Rattus norvegicus: one gene and its partners. The protein of the gene in region 1 purifies or fractionates together with the protein of each later gene. This does not show direct contact. Links are inferred from orthologs where the notes say so. Each region holds a gene or a part of one and is shown in the gene's direction. Other genes may lie near its edges.

Evidence for each region.
Region 2: the proteins of Stx7 (region 1) and Vamp8 purify together in Homo sapiens (affinity purification with mass spectrometry; 7 studies listed by BioGRID and IntAct, counting the BioPlex papers as one, with this or other methods). This does not show direct contact. The link is inferred for Rattus norvegicus from reciprocal best matches to the Homo sapiens genes STX7 and VAMP8.
Region 3: the proteins of Stx7 (region 1) and Bet1 purify together in Homo sapiens (affinity purification with mass spectrometry; 3 studies listed by BioGRID and IntAct, with this or other methods). This does not show direct contact. The link is inferred for Rattus norvegicus from reciprocal best matches to the Homo sapiens genes STX7 and BET1.

Annotation. Positions count from the first base shown.
Region 1 is NC_086019.1:23,021,961-23,025,614, reverse strand, and holds part of Stx7 (syntaxin-7), read left to right. Parts: intron 1-778; coding exon 779-831; intron 832-1,452; coding exon 1,453-1,549; intron 1,550-2,998; coding exon 2,999-3,071; intron 3,072-3,654. UniProt on the Homo sapiens protein: May be involved in protein trafficking from the plasma membrane to the early endosome (EE) as well as in homotypic fusion of endocytic organelles. Mediates the endocytic trafficking from early endosomes to late endosomes and lysosomes.
Region 2 is NC_086022.1:106,003,164-106,006,917, reverse strand, and holds the start of Vamp8 (vesicle-associated membrane protein 8), read left to right. Parts: upstream 1-1,275; 5' UTR 1,276-1,413; coding exon 1,414-1,416; intron 1,417-3,606; coding exon 3,607-3,754. UniProt on the Homo sapiens protein: SNAREs, soluble N-ethylmaleimide-sensitive factor-attachment protein receptors, are essential proteins for fusion of cellular membranes.
Region 3 is NC_086022.1:33,078,812-33,082,565, reverse strand, and holds the start of Bet1 (BET1 homolog), read left to right. Parts: upstream 1-1,403; 5' UTR 1,404-1,484; coding exon 1,485-1,503; intron 1,504-3,754. UniProt on the Homo sapiens protein: Required for vesicular transport from the ER to the Golgi complex. Functions as a SNARE involved in the docking process of ER-derived vesicles with the cis-Golgi membrane.

The DNA of each region.
Region 1 (3,654 bases):
ACTCACATGCACATATACACATACAAATGTACACACACATACAACTGTACACACACATACAGAACACACCATACATATACTCACATGCACATATACACATACAAATGTACACACACATACATGAACACACCGTACATATACTCACATGTACATATACACATACAAATGTACATACACATACATGAACACACCATACATATGATCACATACACACACCCAAATATATCTATATATGCATACACATACCCATACATATACTCATATATACATACACACACCTATATATACACACATATGCATACACCCATACATGTGATCACATGTACATATACACACCCAAATGTACATACACATACATGAACACACCATACATATGATCACATACACACACCCAAATATATCTACATATGCATACACATACCCATACATATACTCATATATACATACACACACCTATATATACACACATATGCATACACCCATACATGTGATCACATGTACATATACACACCCAAATGTATGCATACACCCATACATATGCTCACATGCACATGCACACCCAGATGTGTACACACATATATACACACACCCATACATATGCTCACGTACCCATATATACACCCAAATGTATGCACATACATATGCACAGAAATGTATGCCTACACATGTATGCACAGACACATGAACACGTACTCATACAAAACACAGGGAAAATATGAGTGTTTTGTTACTTTTTCTTATTCTTGCTTTCTTTTTGTCCTCTAACCAAATTATTCAGGGTGGCTTTCCTGAAGACAGCTCAAAAGAGAAGAATTTTGTATCTTGGGAAAGGTAAGAAATAAGAAAACTGCTTTATAAATCAAAAAATAATTTTTGAGGTTCTCTATATTATAGTCCATGATGCAGAATGAAACCTTTTATTATAATATAAATAGTCTATTATTTATCAACTGAAATCATAGATTTGGGAAAATAAATACTTATAAAGTATTTATTTTGTAATATATAAATAGATCACACAAATAAACTTATTTTCTTACTTTTAAGAATAAAATATTCTTATATGAAGTTACCAAGTATGACTCTTAATGAGTACATCAAAAGCAGTATAAGCTAAAATTATGAGTAGAGTAAAAACGGGGTAAAATTTGTATAAAATGTCTATTTATGCCTACAAGTTTTTCTTTATTTATTGAGGTTTTTTGGAGACAGGATCTCACCGTGTTATCTAGGCTAACCTGGGATTCCCCATGTAGCCAGGACTGGCCTTAAGTTCTGGATCATTCTGCCTTACCCAGTGAGAACTGGGATTCTAGGCACGTATCACCATGGCTACTTATTTCAACACCTTTTAAATGAGCAGTAGTCTGATCTTGAGTCTGACCAGAATATCCTGTTCAGTAAGCGTGTCTAAGGAGTACATAAGTCTCCTTTCTGTGTTTGTTTTTATAGCCAAACACAGCCTCAAGTGCAAGTCCAAGATGAAGAAATCACAGAGGATGACCTCCGGCTCATTCATGAGAGAGAGTCTTCAATCAGACAGCTGGAAGTAAGCCTTACATGCCTATGCCCAACTGTTGCTCCAGTCAGACACCCGGAGAGCGCTAGAGAAGAAAACTCTTAAAACATCTGGCAGTTTGATGAAATGTCTAGTGTAGAATTTGGAATAATTCCTGTGTAGGAAACGATAGTGTTGGAACTGGGATGAGAAGCTATATGCCTCCTACATGGTTAAATCACCGTTCTCTTTAGTATTGAGAAAGCTCCACTCTAAAAATGAACACCACCCAAAGAACCTGGGCAGCGCCCCGAAGCCACCACACCATCCCTTCGTGAGTGAGGCTTTGGCAGTAGCTTTAAGAGAACTGTAATTTTCTTAGGGTGACCACCACGTCACAGAGAGGAAGGATTTGTTCCGTTGTAGCTCTGTTGAACTGATGCCACTCCTAACAGTGGGCTAATGAAGGTCTTCGTGTGCCAAGGCTCTGTGATAACACAGAGTTTTCATTCCATCCTCACACAAGCTCTTTAAACTTGCTAACTATGTCATCATCAGTGACATTTTTCAGATAGGCATACTAAGGCCATGATAGATATACAAACGTCCTAACACACTTAAAAAAAAAATAGTGTTTAGTTGGGAAAAATAAATGGGTATGTACTAAGGAAAATAAAGTTACAATTTATCCAATAAATTTCTTTTTTTTTCTTTTTTTTTTTTTATTAACTTGAGTATTTCCTATATACATTTCGAGTGTTATTCCCTTTCCCAGTTTCCCGGCAAACATCCCCCTCCCCCCTCCCCTTCCCTATGGGTGTTCCCCTCCCAACCCTCCCCCCATTGCCGCCCTCCCCCCAACAGTCTAGTTCACTGGGGGTTCAGTCTTAGCAGGACCCAGGGCTTCCCCTTCCACTGGTGCTCTTACTAGGATATTCATTGCTACCTATGAGGTCAGAGTCCAGGGTCAGTCCATGTATAGTCTTTAGGTTATCCAATAAATTTATAATCTGTTTACCCTCTGATGATGTCTATAATTTCACTATGATCTACCAGATACTCAAAGGTATTAACGCATGACTTTAAATTTATAAACATTTATACACAATTTATTGTAATTGACAAATTCCTGGATAAATTTTTATTGAAATACAAGGATATTCATATTCTTCTAATCAAATATTGGTTGTGACAATTATCAGGTTGAACTTAGTACTCCACAGCCTTCCTCAATTTCAGTCCTGCCTCACTTGAGGTAGTGTGTGTCACAGATTTACTTTGGACAACTAGAAGCCATCCAGAGGCTGTTTAGTTAGAAGTGTTTACACTAGTGTATTTTTCTGACGTTCCTAAAATGTATATATTACTTCTGAATGCATGCTTATATATGCATGAGTGGGTGTAAATTTGTTTCTTTTTTTCTTTTCTTTTGATTTTCCCATTGAAGGAGTGGGGACCGTGTTTGTAATAATGGATAATAACGTGTGATCTTTGTCTTAGGCTGACATTATGGACATTAACGAAATATTCAAAGACTTGGGGATGATGATTCATGAACAAGGAGATGTTATTGGTAAGTCCTGCTGCTGTGGACCGTTCACCTGTCACAGCTTTCTCAATGAGGAGAAAGCTTCTCTTCCATTTTTTCTGTAGTCTCTACAGTTTGCAGGCTGCCCTCGCCTACGTTTGCATTCCTGCTGATTGAAGGAAGCTCCATGTGCTTCCAAAGCTTGAAGCTCGGAGTGTAATCAGCGCCTCCTCATGGAGCCACATGGCATTGCAACCTACTTCCAGGGCTTGCTTTTCATTTTTATCCAAATAGGACAGGGGTCGTCTCGTGATATTTGTAACTGTGTGTGCTGTCTCGTTCTGTGGGAAATTGTTAGCTATTCGCCTGGTCATTTGTCCTGCCAATGACCAAATAGTTTTTGATAAATTAATGTAGCTGATTTAGATGCCAGGGGCCTGAGACCCGTGGCATTAACGCTTTAGATGTGAGATAGAACTGTGGAAGTGTGTCACGGATGAGGTCATTAAGGAAAGGAAAGTATGGGAGCTGGAGGGAGAGGTCAGTGATAAGGGCTCTTATTGTGTAAGCTGAGTCTGAGATCAGATACCTGTGAAAAGGAAGCTGGCTGTGGCACCGTGTTCCTCAC
Region 2 (3,754 bases), on another chromosome or scaffold:
ACCAGAGAACCTAACCCAGCCGCCCTGCACACACACATGCGCACACTTAAAAATAATAATGATAAATCTTTGTTTAAAGATTTTTTTTAAAGTGTTACTAGTTGCTTCAATTTGCTTCTGTAAAACTAAGCATGCAGTGTTTGTAGATGTAGCTCCTCCCTGAGTCCCTGAGCATGTACAAGGGAAAACACAAAAGTGTCTTAAAATGATTCCGAGATTCTAAATTTATTATAGCAAAAAGAAAAAAAAAAAAAAAGAAGACTTATTTGTTGGAGGAGCTAAGATTTCCTCCTTGACAATGTTATTTATTCTGGGGTGGGAAAGAATGTGTGTTCTCTTGGTGCCCTGTTATTGTTCTGTCTTGACAAACTCCATCCGGAGAAGAGCAGATTTTCTCTGGCGGAAAGCCACGTGTGGTGGAAAAACCCTTTCCGCTTAGGCCCCCTCCTAATCCATCTGACTCCTGACCAGGGTCACTAACCCCCACGGTGACCTTTGGAAGGAAATGCCGGACTGCTGAACTCCAGAAGGAAAGGAGGGGCTGGTGAGTGATCCATTTCCCTGACTGTCTCCTGTCCTGTGACAAGGCTAAGGTGCCCTGCCCCTGCTGTTTGTACTCCTCCTACTGCTGGAGGTCAACCTCAGCAACGAAGAATCCAAAGAGGAGGGCAAAGATTCCCCCAGGGCCAACTTGGAACTTTCCTGGAGATTTTAAAGACTTTAATTATGTGTATGTGTGTGTGTGTGTGTGTGTGTGTGTGTGCACATGTGTGTTCACATACCCTCAGAGGCCAGAAGAGGGCATCCGGACCCCCTAGAGCTGCGATACAGGTGTTTGTGAGCAGCCAGGTGTGGGTGCGGGACCTGAACTTGGGTCACTGCAGAAGCACCAGGTGATCTCAACTGCCCAGCCATCTCTCCAGCCCCGTTTTCTGGGGATTAAAATCCTCACTAAAGTGCTCTCTTCTCATCCAGGATGGCTCAGAGACAAAGGTTGCCCAGCAAGATTTTTTCACCTGTATATTCGTTGCTATCTAAATAAGGCTAATTTAAGTCAAAAAAACTAGAATTACTCCTTTGAAGCACAAAAAGAAGTTACTGAAAACTTAGCAGGGTTGTTGATCCTTCTTTTCTCCTTCTTGACAACTTAGACGCTTTCCCCTCCCCCACTCCCCTGCCCTGTTGCTTAAGCTTTTGTTTAGGAGGAGACTAGGAGGAGGGCAGTAGAGGGCGGCCGCCTACCTGGAGAAACCTGCAGTTAGTTACGTGTGACAGGAGCCCGAGAGGCTGGAGTCGCGGGATGGGCAGGAGGCGGGCAGAAAGTTGGAGTAAGCAGGAAGTGAAGCTGTAGCTGCCTTGGGTGGAAACAGACTAGGCGAAGTTCTGCTTTGAGAGGCCCAAGTGCTCCGAGACATGGTGAGTGACGTGGGGACTAGGAAAGAGAGATTTAGAGGAGCGGGATCGGGCCTGGGGGTTGCCTGTGTCGAGATAGGTAAGTTGGCGGCCGTCAGTAGGCTGGCCGGGTTGGGCCAGCGCTGCCTCTCTCTCCTTACTTTTGACAACTCGTCTACAAATAGCTCCGCACTCCGGGCCAGGGGTTCCCGACACTTCTCCACCTCCTTCTTCCCATGACCTCGGTGCTGGATGGGATCAGGGTTTCGGTGGGGGCTGGGGAACCCAAATTCCAAGCCGAGCTGCTGCGCCGCGCCCTCCCCCTCCTCCGCCTCCTCCAGCTGGGCCTGAGCCGGGTGTTGTGACATTACCGGACCACAAGTGCTCCTGCTCTTTGGTGTTCAGATTCCAGCCCAGCGGACTGGAGTTCTCCCCCCTTAGCCTCGCACTGTATCTACGCAGACACGCAGAGGATCTGCCTGGCCACAAAAAGCACCCCTCTTCTCTAGAAACATTAGCAACAGTGCCAAGGGTTTGTAAAGAAGCCAGATGGCGGTTCTCCCTGATAATCTAGCTTCAGCCCACACCCACGGCCAGTACCACGGCCCCCTGGGTCCCTAAGGGAGGAGTCAGGCCTTTTTCCTCCTTGTTCAAAAGCTTTATCTAGAGGCCTCCTGGAAGAAGACCTCAGCAGGAAGAACTTTTGTTAATATCTACATAAGCAGGCGGTGGTGTGCGGCCTACCAGGCGCTAAATTGTGGGGAAAGCAGAAGTGTGCGGTCCAACGGCACACGATGCCTTCTGGGGGCCACACCGACTGAACCAGGGTTACACTGCCCAGCAAGCTGGAACCAGAATTCACCAACAGCTGTCTGGAGAGGAACTTGGGTTGGGCCAGGCAAGGGTCCTTCTGCTGGCCAGCTCTCAGAGTTTTAGAGAGAACCCACTAGGACTGGGAAGAGGGAGGCTATGGGGACCAGTTAATAGTACTTTTCTGGGGCTGGGGATTTAGCTCAGTGGTAGAGCGCTTACCTAGGAAGCGCAAGGCCCTGGGTTCGATCCCCAGCTCCGAAAAAAAGAACCAAAAAAAAAAAAAAAATAGTACTTTTCTGTGCTCTGCTGAGGAGAACGGAAATCCAGTTCTGTTTTCTCCCCGACCCTCTTTGTGGTGTCAAAATGGGAGCAGTTGTGTGCTGTTTTTTCCTTGTCACCCTGAAACCCCCGAAGGTGGTTTGCAGTCCAGAATCAAATCTCATCTTCTGGGACTTAAAAAAAATGTCCTTATATGGCAGCCAAGATGGTTGGGTAGGTAAAAGTGCTTGCAGAGCAAGCCTGTCTGCCTGAATTCAATATCCTTCTCACTCCTGTCTGTCCAACTCTAGGAGACAATCCACTCATGAGAGTTGTCCTTTAACCTCCACATGTGTGCCATGGCATACATGTATATTCCCCAACACACACTTACTGATAATGTGTGTGCACACCCACGTATACACACCACACACACATACACACACACTGCACTTATGCCAGACTAAGGATGCGGTTCAGCTAACAGAGTGTTTGCCTGGCAAGCATGAAGCTCAGGGTTTGATCCCCAGCACCTGATAAAACAGGGGTGATGGGGCACATCTGTAATCTCAGCACAGGGTAAGTCAAGACCGGAGGATCAGATGTTCAAGGTCATCCTACTTAGGAAGTTTGAGGCTGGCCTAGGTTATATGAGACCCTGTCTCGGATAAATAAATTAATAAATCTGGGGAGGTGGCTCAGTGGACAAAGTGCTTGCCACATAAGCATGGAGATTTGACTTGGGTCCCTAGACCCATTTAGAAGAAAAGAAAACTCCAGGTGCGGTGGTGCAAGCACTCAGGTGCAGTGGCTCCCAGCACTCGGATGGTAGAGAAGGCTTTCTGTCCACCCTAATCTCAGAACCCCCGGCCAACAGAAGACCCAGCCTCTGGGAACAAAACCAAAAACCAAATGGCTGCTGAGGAATGACACCTGAGGCTGATCTGGGACATACACGCGCTTGCACCCACGTGAACGTTTCCATAGAACATTCCCCTTGTAAACAACTGAAGTATTAGAAGTGGCTAAAATCTCGGGTTGGGGATTTAGCTCAGTGGTAGAGCTACTTTGGTCCTTCCAACCTCCTCTGGCCTCTTGGATCCTCTGCTGCCCAGCCTAATTAACCCCTGTATTGACCTGCAGGAGGCCAGTGGGAGTGCCGGAAATGACCGAGTCAGGAACCTGCAGAGTGAGGTGGAGGGAGTCAAGAATATTATGACCCAGAATGTGGAGCGGATCTTGGCCCGAGGGGAGAACCTGGACCATCTCCGAAACAAGACAGAGGACTTGG
Region 3 (3,754 bases), on another chromosome or scaffold:
TATCTTCCCCAGATCCATCATCATTTAATCGCATTGCTTTTGGAGAATGGCGGCTTACTTTATCTTTATGAAGACTCTTTTAATGCTATTAAAGTTTATTTTCCCAGTTAATATATCACATTGTAAATCATTTCATGTGTATTTTACAGACACTGTCTTAAGGCAGAGACTTAAGCTGTAATTATAGTCAATGTTTAAGTTGGGAATTGACTTATATGATCAGTGTTTATAATGTATACTTTATAATAATAATAGTATAGTAGTTTCAGAAAGCTCTATTATAAATACCACATCACTGCCATACAGTAGCAACACAACTATATTAACATGGGCAGTAAATAACTATTGGCTTCAAAAAACATTATTTTTGTGTAACCTTGTAATGATCCTTTGATATTAACCACTATACTTCCACGCATCCTAACAAACTTTTAAGCCCATAATTGGACCCCATGCTCCACCCAAACAAGTATTAGGTATTTGTGTGTATTTGGGTTTTTTTCTGCCCATGTTCTTGGTTTTGTAAGTATCACTAGAACACTTAATTTTATCTACCCACTCCTCTTTGTCTATCTTTCCCTCTCCTGGCAGGATGAAGTCTGCAGGCCTGGGTAAGAAAGAGCTGAGGTTCGAAGTTTGGGGACCCTAGAACCTGCTGAGCCAGGAGTAGGGGCGTGGGAGGAAACTACTGGCCTTCTGTCAATGACTTTGGGGTTTGAAATACGCAAGTTATTTGCGTTATTTAAAAGGTCCCTAAGTAGGAGGGAGTGTTTAAAAGCTAAACATCACGGTTCTTTCCAGACATAGAGCAAATGCATTAAACGAGGAATGAGGAATGAGAGACTCCCCACTTCCCTACCAGATGTTCTACTGCGAAGATACAGATTTTTTTTTTCCCTTTCTATTCCACTGGGCAGGATCAGGAAGTAAGAGGATTGATCTTCCTTTAATGCTAAGAGGCTCAGACAGTATAGATGAGACTCTCGAACCAAGTTTGCACTGACTTACTCTCCTCGGACTTTGGGAGTGCAAGGGAAAATCAAGAAAGATGAGTCACCATCATCCAGGCCAGGGAGGAATAACTCTCCCCGGCTAAAGTTGGCACTAACATCATAAAGTCCCTTACTGGCAGCTCTGGAAGAGGTAAAGACCCAGACTCACAGGACTAGAGCCACAGCAGCAGCCTCTGCCCTTCCGGAAACCCCACCCGCTTCAGACTTGGTTCCTACCACGCCCCTCTTACCCTGTGCCCCAGAAGCCCGAAGACTACATTTCCCAGAATGCAACTAAAATCTCATTGCAGGGCGCCTATATGTGTCCGGGTGACGACATAAACCGGCGCGGTGTTTAGACTTTACTGATGTCGTGGCGCTCTGAGGCAAAAAGTTGTTTCTCTGAGGAGCCTTAGGACTGAAGCCGAGGTTGGGTGACCCTGGCCCTTTCCTACCCACTCTTCCTTGCCCTCCTTCCCCTCTCGTGGCAGGATGAGGCGTGCAGGCCTGGGTAAGAGCAGTGCTGAAGTTCGAAGTTTGGGGACCCGAGGACCTGCTGAACCGGGAGTAGGGGCGTGGGAGGAAAACTACCGGCCTTCTGTCAGTGACTTTGGAGTTCCAAAGCGAGTTGTTGGGTTCTTTGGAGAAGGTTCACATCATTTGTCCCAGTTACGAGCGGTTTCCTTAAGTTGAATTTAGACGAAAGTTTAAACCTATATGATACGTTGCACAGTGGTGAGTTGGTTAATAGTCTTAAGTTTTTCTTTCTCTATATGCTAGTTTTTGGGGAGTAGCCCTATTTCCCAAGCCTCGCCGTTTCCTTTGCTTTACTCATTCAGGATCTTACTACTACTACTACTACTACTACTACTACTACTACTACTACTACTATTACTACTACTACTACTACTACTACTATTACTACTACTACTACCATCACCTCCTCCTCCTCCTCCTCCTCCTCCTCCTCCTCCTCCTCCTCCTCCTCCTCCTCCTCCTCCTCCTCCTCCTCCTTCTCCTCCTCCTCCTCCTCCTCCTCTTTTTTAAAGAAGTGACATTTGGGGAGTGGGTATTAAGCTTTTAGCACAGCAATAACGATGTGTTAGTATGGTAACAGTGAGTTACAAAGGTTATGTGTCATTGCTAGCATTGCTAGAGTGCCTGTTGTGAAAGGTCTGGCGATTTACTTGGAACGTTTCTGAGCTAGACCTTGCCCTACTGCTAAGGCAATAGAAGATAGTTTTGATGACTTAACACTTGTTTTTGCCTTTATGGATCAGGGAAAGGAATAACCTAGTAATTACAGAAAGTAATTAGATTACTGTTTTCTGGTTCTGAAGTTCTTTCTCAATAATGTTTTAAAGAAGAAAGGGCAGAATACTTGAAAAAAGTGTATGAAATATTAAAAAGGATGTTGCCATTCTGTCATAAATTGGAATAATTAAAACAGTTTTAAAAAGTGTAATGTGTTTAAAGCCAGTAAATGGACACACACTTGAAATTAGGTAAGAAAAATAAATAAAGCCTCTTTTTCAACTCACAATTCACAGCTTGTTAGGATTTTTAATTTTATAAGAAGTTATACAATATTTATGACAGTGTGAAGACATAGTAGTATTTTTAGTAAGGTTGGTTGTAGGAATAGAATGAGCCACTGGAAAATAAGGGCAATGAAAGGTGTCAATAATATAGATATACAAGTTGCATGTGAAGGAATTTGTAAATTTAGCTGCACTCTTTGAAAGAAAGTAGTCCATCTCAACCTAACAAACTACTTTCAAACAAGATTAGTCACCTGTGCCTAAATTTTTCCATCACTAACAACATTAGACATTTATTGTGATATACCATGTGCTTCCCAAAGCTTCCAGTGTTACCAAGGGGAAGAAGACAAATTGCTTCTGAAGCAGATGACAAAATTATGATCCAAGGTGGTAACTTTTCATTCAGTACAAGTTAAGTTCAACAGATAGTGAATGCAGTAGCAATTTCATTATAAATGGCTCACTGTGTACCTCCTGAAGCCAGGGGAACTTGAAGGATGCCGGTGACAGTGACGATTGAGAGAAGTAAGTCCCAGGTGGGATGATTCAGAGTAGCCGTGAATGATGTGTACAAGAGATTGTAGTGAAGTCACCCTGAGTGAAGCTAGGACCCGGAGGCATTCCAGAGGTCTTGGTCTATTCAAGGAGTTTACACTTCGTCAGGCCAGTGACCTATTGGAATTTTGTTTGTGCATACTGTTTTTAATACATGCAAGTCACGGACTCGACAGTAGGTTTCTACCTCTGACTGAATGTGAGAATTACTCAGAAAGATGTTAAATTAGTTTTTCAATTAAATTAGAATCATCAGGCTTGAAATGCAGTGAGAAGAGGGGTAATTATTTGGTTAAGTATGTATCATTTAAATTGGTGTTAAATAATGAAGATTTTTAAAACTACCATAGTGTGTTGACCTGAATTTGAAATTTGAAAGAATGGTGAGTCTGATAGGCGTTCACATGTAAAACCTGCCACATTACACATGAGCTGTTAAATGAATCGACCTGATTATTGATAGAACCTGCTTCAAGGAAGCAGCACTTTTCAGAAATTACGTCAGCTGACGATGACCTTCAAGACTTGCCTTTCAACAGTTCTTTATAGTAGTAATTAATTCTCACTGAAAACTTAGGTCTCATTCATACTCAGGAATGGTAACTGTAGTATTTTATTTTAGCTTAGTTTGTTTCATTTTTCTGTTTGTGGGTGGAAGATGGT